Linked DNA regions of Canis lupus familiaris. The protein of the gene in region 1 binds, or shares a complex with, the protein of each later gene. Links are inferred from orthologs where the notes say so. Each region holds a gene or a part of one and is shown on either strand. Other genes may lie near its edges. The genes, in order: TUBGCP5 and NME7.

Region 1 (3,827 bases):
TATACATACCTACTAGTCTGTTAACTTCTCCCTTCAAATTATTATTTTTTCTTTTTTTTAGATTTTTTTTTTAATTTATTTATTCATGAGAGACACAGAGAGAGAGGCAGAGACCTAGGCAGAGGGAGAAGCAGGCTCCATGCAGGGAGCCCGATGTAGAACTCGATCAGGGACTCCAGGATCATGCCCTGGGCATGAAGGCAGACGCTCAACCACTGAGCCACCCAGGCGTCCCTCTCTTCAAATTGTTTCCTAATTTGGGTTTTGAGGATTATACCATACAAAAATGTGAAGAGCTTCCTCATTCTTTTTTACAAATTGAGTATTTAGTTGTGTGAATATACATTTAGGTTGTTTCTGATCTGCTATTGTCAATAGTGCTATAGTGATAACTGCTTACTTAATATGAAGCAAGCTATAGTATAAATTTTTTTTTTAAGATTTTATTTATTCATGAGAGACAGAGAGGCAGAGACATAGGCAGAGGGAGAAGCAGACTTCCCACAGGGACCCTAATGCAGAACTCAATCCCAGTACCACGGGATCATACCTGAGCCAAAGGCAAATAAATGCTCAACTACTGAGCCAAAGGCAAATAAATGCTCAACTACTGAGGCATCCCTGTAGCATAAATTCTTAATGGAATTCCTAGGTTAAAGAGAATGTGATGGCATATGTGATTTTGATACGTATTCCACATGGTTGCCTGCAATGTATGATTACCCTTGCCAACAGTGTGTTGTTAAACGAGCAATATATATGAGTATCTGTGTCCTCACAGTCTTGTTAACAGTGTGTTATCAACAGTGTGTTATCAAACAGATTTAAAATGGTAACCAGCATTTTTAGCTTCCCCCCCCACCCTCTACTTTTATTTTCAACTACTGCAAAAATATAGTACCCAGACATCCCAGGTTCCCATCACCCAACTTCCTCCAATAATTCCCACCTTACCATAATAATGGTATATAATAATTATAATAATTATAATATGATATGATAATTATATATATGATATGTATATGATAATTATATATATTATATATATATGATAATTATAATAATTATCAAAACTAGGAAATTGACATTGGAACAATACATTTATTGTTCTGCAGACCTGGCATGAGTTTCAGCAGTTTTGCAGGCACTTGCTATTTTGTGGGGAAGGGAGTGGTATCTTCGTGTATAGTTCTGTGACACTTTATCACATGTGACAAATATCACATATATTTGTAAATCCACTTCCATCTTCAGGATACAGAGCTCTTCCATCTCCATGAAAAAACTTATTCTTGCTCCCCTTCGTAGGAACCATCTCCTCATTAATATAATAGCCCACTGAAGTCTTTTTTATTTGCCCAGTGTAGTTTTAATTTGTATTCTTTTGTTATAATTGAGGTTGAATATCTCTATATATTTAGGAATCACTTTTATTTCCTTTCCTTTCCCTTGAACTGTGAGTTCCTTTATATATTATTTATCTTCTGAGTTTTCTTTCTTTAGAGAAATTAGCTCCTTATGATGGGAGATTAAAATCCACCACGCCCGGGCAGCCCCAGTGGCTCAGCGGTTTAGTGCCGCCTTCGGCCCAGGGTGTGATCCTGGGGTCCCAGGATTGAGTCCCACGTCGGGCTCCCTGCATGGAACCTGCTTCTCCCTCTGCCTGTGCCTCTGCCTCTCTGTGTGTCTCTCATGAATAGATTAAAAAAGAAAATCTTAAAAAAAATAAAGTGCTTTCTTTAAAAAAAAAAAAAAAATCCACCATGCCCTAGTTTGCCATGTCTTTCCATAAGTGACTTAGCATTTATATCCTTTTCTGAATGCAGATATTCTTCCTTGCTAAAGGGTTTGAGTTTTTGATATTTTGCAGACACTACAATAACTCTTGCAATAGTGGTGGACAAGTTGTCACCTCGACTGGCTCAACTCAAAGTTCTTCACAAAGTATTTAGTACTGGAGTAGCAGAAGTTCCACCTGACACTCGAAATGTTGTTCGGGCATCTCATCTGCTCAACACCCTGTACAAGGCCATTCTTGAATATGACAATGTTGGAGAAGCCTCTGAGCAAACTGTATGTAAGACCTTTATCCTAAGTTGTGTGACTCCCTTCTGTTCAGCCAAAGTAGTGGTAGATAGCCTGTCATAGCTCTTTGTAAAAATACTGCTTAAATCATGGTGTGTCATACAGTTGTTCAGAGTTTTGTTTTGTTTTGTTTTGTTTTAAAGATTTATTCATGAGAGACACAGAGAGAGAGATAGGCAGAGACACAGGCAGAAGGAGAAGCAGGCTCTATGCAGGGAGCCTGATGTGGGACTCAATCCCGGGACTCCAAGATCACGCCCTGGGCCAAAGGCAGGTGCTAAACCACTGAGCCACCCAGACCCAGACGTCCCTGTTCAGAGTTTTTAAATAAGCTTCTAAAATCAGCGCTACAGGAAACTGGCTTCTTGGCTTTAATCACAGAGATTATGGGGAGGATGCGGCAAGGAGAAAGCAAAACGTAAAAAGCAAGATGTGAAAAACATCTAGCTGACTTATATAGATATTTGCAATTACTCTTCAATAAAAATACAGATTATATAAGGTATCTAGAGTAGTCAAATTCATAGAAACAAAACAGAATGGTGGTTGCCACAAACTGGGAAGGGAGAAGCGGGAAGATGTTTAATGGGTGCAGAGTTTCAGTTCCGCAGCATACCCAAGAAAAACATTCACAACAATATGAATATATTTAACACTACTGAACTGTACACTTAAAAATGCTTAAGACAGGGGCACCTGAGTAGCAGTTGATTATCTGCCTTCAGCTCAGGTCATGAGCCCTGGGTTGGGCTCCCTACTCAGGGGAGTCTGCTTCTCCTTTTCCCTCTGCCTCCCACCTTGTCCTTGCTCTGTCTCTCTAGTGCTCTCTCTCTCTCAAATAAATAAAGCCTTTCAAAAATGCCTAAGATAGTATTTTTTGTGTTACATGTTTTAATTTAAAATTTTTTTAATTTAAAATTTTAATACATACCATTTTAAAATTTTTTTAAATTTTAAAAAATACAACTTAAAAAAATACAAATCTAACGGAAACTATAGTTTAGAAAGCTGCAGATTTCTTTGGATACACATTTTAGGTGTTGTTTCCTAGTACATTGATGTAACTTTGTTTTCTCACCATTTTGGTCCTGCAGTTCAGTATAAAAGTTTTATTTCTTTCAGCTATGCAATTTTTTTCCTACTGGGAAGTATAGTAGAATGAAATCATTTCTTCATTCTTTTTTTTTTTTTTTTAAGATTTTTATTTATTTATTCATGAGAGACACAGAGACAGAGGCAGAAACATAGGTAGAGGGAGAAACAGGCTCCCTGCAGGGAGCCTGAAGTGGGACTCAATTCCGGAACTCCAGAATCATGCCCTGAGCCGAACGCGGAGCCACCCAGGCATCCCTCATTTCTTCATTCTTAATGGACATTTTGCTAATATGTTTTAGATAGGGTAGCTGTTCCTCAGTTTGTACTATCCAACTTAAGACTGCTCTTGTAACCCTCTTGTAACTTTAATTCCCAAGAGAGTCCTGGTATGGACTACAGATGATATGGTCATCTTATCTTTAGGTGAGTTTTCATAAGGATTTTTATAAAGTATGTTTTAGATTTTTAATTTCTTAATTTCTGTCAAAAAGCAGAAATCCCATCACTTTTTAAAAGGTATTTCAGAGGGGTGCCTGGGTGGTTTAGTTGGTTAAGCATGTGACTTGATTTCAGCTCAGATCATGATCTCAAGATCATGAGATCAAGCCCCACGTTGAGCTCTATGCTGGGTGTGGAGGTAGCTAAAG
Region 2 (3,827 bases), on another chromosome or scaffold:
GGCCTCCAGAACATAATTAGGTCTGAGTTTTTTCCTTCTACTTCACTGATGGCTCCTTCTCTATCTCCTTTGCTGCTCTTCAGCCTTTTACTAGAACAGAAAGGCTCCATCTTTGTTCTCTTTTCTTCTTTATAAGTAGTCTCTCCCAGGTAATCTCAACCAGTCTCATGACTCTGATACCATCCAGGTGCCAGTGACCCCATATTATGACACTAGTTCAGACTTCCCTCCCCAACTCCAAACTCGCATAACCAGATTTTTTACTTACCATTTCTCTACTTTGATAACTAACATGCATGTTAAGTCTGCAATGTCCAAAATGTAACTCCTGAGCTTCCATCTACACTGACTCTAGCCATAGTTTTCCTTATTTCAGGTTAGGCAAATTATAGCCTTTTAGTTGTTCAGGCCAAGAACTTTGTGGAGTAATCCTTGCTCTCTCTTTTTCTCATATTCTACATTCAATCTGGAAGGAGATCTTGCTCATTTGACCTTCAACCATTAAAAGCATTTTAAAATGTATCTCTATACTCCTCTCACTGCTTCCATCCTGGTGCAGGCTATCATCTCCCTGGATTATCCTAAGAGCCTCTTAACTGGGTTCCCTGTTGCTACTCTAATCCTCTACAGTCTATTCTCATTGCAGTAGCTAGGGTGGCCCTTTTATATACCAAGTGAAATATATCAGTCCTCCACTTAAAACCCTGCAATACCTCCCAGTTTTCCTCAGAGAAAAAGCCAAAAATACTACCATGGCCTACAAAACCATGTGCTATCTCCCCTATTTCTGTGACCTCATCAGCCCCTCTTTCCCTCACTCCCACTCAATTATTCTGCCTCCTTTCCTGTTAACTGAATGACCAGGCAAAAATACACTCTTCAAGGAATAGTAAGATGGTCAGTGAACCTGGGATACAGTGAATAAGGGAGACACTACTTGGAGATAAATTTGGAGAAACAGATGGGAATCAGATCAGGTGAAGCTCTGGAAGCTTGTGATTCTATTATAAAAGAAATAAAAATTCACTGAGGAGTCTTTAATAATTGAATTTTTAATCTTATTTGTTTTTAAAAGATCACTCTTGGCCTAGTTAATTTTATGTGGGCAAGGTAAAATTTTTATAAATTGAGTATAAGAGGAAAAGGAAGAGGAAAAGAGAATTAGAAGAATTACTACTATTTTGCAGTAGTACAAATAAAATATAACAGTGACCTAGACCACAACAATCAGATTCAAAGTCTAATTTGAAGGAATTGCTGAAAGGATCTTTTGATGGAACTGTAAGGAAAATTCAATTATTAAAAAACTGTCTAATATTATTTTAACGAAAGCATGACCAGACTAAAAGCCATCTTACATCAGATGAGAAACTTGTTGTGATGCTAAGAATAAACTTGCAACTTCATCAAATCAACATCAGCATAAACCCAGTATTACACCTTATTTATATGGACTTAAAAATAAGAAATAATTGTAGGAAGCATAAAGACTTTTTCATGAACACTAGCTCTGTACAGGAAAAGGATGTTAAACTTGAAGATAGTGTTAGATCTGAGTCAAAAATAAAATATATTAAATGATGTTTCCTTTCTGAATATTTACTATCCATAAGCTGGTCTCACATTAAGTCAGTAATTCAAACATTGATGAGCCTGAATAATTTAAATGACTTTGGAATGTAAACTGAGATGACAAGTATTTTAACTGGAGAACACTTATCTTGACCATGACCAGGTTACCAGTTCACAAAAGAAACATATTATTGAAACACTTTAATCCTAGGCAAAGGGTCAAAGGTTTTCTCTACTCCTTGATCATCTGTATAACCTACCCGAAGTCAGCCATGACAGATATGCTTTACTCTGACATAAAACATCTAACAAAAACAAAAACAGAATTAAAATATTTTAAAACACCTTACTCTGGCAGCAGAAGCAAAAGAATCAGGGCCATGAGCTGCATTTCTTATGCCGTCTGTTCCAAAGAGGGCTCTCAGGCTTCCAGGAGCATCTGTACGTGCCATACCAGAGTTCGCGGGTCCAAGTAGCCTTTTCCACTCACATATAGCATCATCTCTTAAAATCTCCATGGCAATAGTAGGACCACTTGTAATAAACTGGATAAGCTCACTACAAAATAGATAAAAGCTTGATTTGCTTCATTTTTCTGTCAACCTCGTATCTCTGTTAATAAGGATATATTACAATTAGAGTATTTCAACACACACATTAATATTATGATCTCAGAACTACCAGATATAGTGAGATATGCATTGGCAAAATAAAATTTTCATAAGTTGAGTGTCTTGTGGTAGTCTGAGTCACTACAGATCACTAGCATTGCCAAATCATTTACCATTACCAAAAAAAAAAAAGAAAGAAAGAAAGAAAGAAAGAAAGAAAGAAAGAAAGAAAGAAAGAAAGAAAGAAAGAAAGAAATCAGTGTTTCATTGAATTTAAGGCTACTTCAGTGACTTAAAATGCATATTACTGATTAATGCTTTTCCCATTGCTCTGAAAGGTACAGAAGGAAATTCCTTTTTATTTTCATGTGGTTTACCACTGAAGTTACATAAAATTGCATAATAGAGAAAATGATGAGAGTGGTCTTATATTTACAGTTAGAATTTATTTTTGTGTAGATTAGAATTCAAAGAATGTCAGAAATGTTCAGTCAATAAACACTGAGTTGGTCTTAGTGATAAAGAAAAAACAGACATTAATAGGTCTTGGGAAAATATCCTTTTATTTTTGATATTTATATTTGATATTTATGAAAAAATATCCTATAAAAGCTACTCTGGGATATTCTTATCTCAAGTTATTAAAGAATACATACAGGTTCTTGATTAAAAATCCAGCATTGGGGATCTCTGGGTGGCTCAGCGGTTTAGCGCCTGCCTTCGGCTCAGGGACTGATCCTGGAGCCCCAGGATTAAGTCCCGCATCAGGCTCCCTGCATGGAGCCTGCTTCTCCCTCTGCCTGCGTCTCTGCCTCTGTCTCTGTATCTCTCATAAATAAATAAATGAAAATTTTTTTAAAAATCCAGCACTGAGTCACAGTAACCCAAGCCATGAAAAGCAACAGTTCATTTCCCTCTGCCACTTCTGTACATGCACAAGGCAACGGTGACAAATTTAACCGTGAAATAAGTAACACCATTCCTCCCACAGTGTTAGGCAGGGACAGAATACTTTTTAAAGTAAGCCTATGCTTCTCTCTCATCCAAGCTATAAGAGAGGACAGGATTCTCCTGGAGAAAATCACACAGTATGACCCTTTTATACCTATTAATTCTTGATTATTTTATATCAATCATTGACTCCCTTCCATACTTTTAAATAATTTCAATTCATTTTGAAGAGGATTTCTAAAAAACAGGATGTACAAAGAAGTATTCATAACCTCCATTCTAAAAGGCCCACATGACCTCTTCATACATATTCTGCTAGGCCTTAGCAGAAAAAAAAAAAAGGAAAAAAATAGATTTAAGGAATCAAAATCAAGAGAACAAATCCATGTTTATCCATTCAATAAGCACTTAACAATTACCTACTACAAATCAGAATATTCAGCGATATCCTTGCCTCAAGAAACTTATAACCTAATGTCCTGTTAATACAGATTTCTCAAACACATAGTAGACTAAGCCTATGACCTGAGTGTGGCATGTAATAATGCAGAGAATGTAGTGCCTCATCATAAAAAATACTGCTTTATGAGACTACCTCCAACAACTGTAGCTACATCTTTTGTTGTGTCTTTCATTAATACCAGAAAACTAGTTAATTCATTCATTTAATAAAATTTACTGCATGCGGGCAGC

The links.
Region 2: TUBGCP5 (region 1) and NME7 share a complex: the UniProt entries of both Homo sapiens proteins name them as parts of the gamma-tubulin ring complex. The link is inferred for Canis lupus familiaris from reciprocal best matches to the Homo sapiens genes TUBGCP5 and NME7.

What each region holds. Positions count from the first base shown.
Region 1 is NC_049224.1:31,915,795-31,919,621, forward strand, and holds part of TUBGCP5 (gamma-tubulin complex component 5), read left to right. Parts: intron 1-1,870; coding exon 1,871-2,073; intron 2,074-3,827. UniProt on the Homo sapiens protein: Component of the gamma-tubulin ring complex (gTuRC) which mediates microtubule nucleation.
Region 2 is NC_049228.1:29,200,339-29,204,165, reverse strand, and holds part of NME7 (nucleoside diphosphate kinase 7), read right to left. Parts: intron 2,131-3,827; coding exon 1,923-2,130; intron 1-1,922. UniProt on the Homo sapiens protein: Possesses an intrinsic kinase activity. Displays 3'-5' exonuclease activity with a preference for single-stranded DNA. Does not seem to have nucleoside diphosphate kinase activity.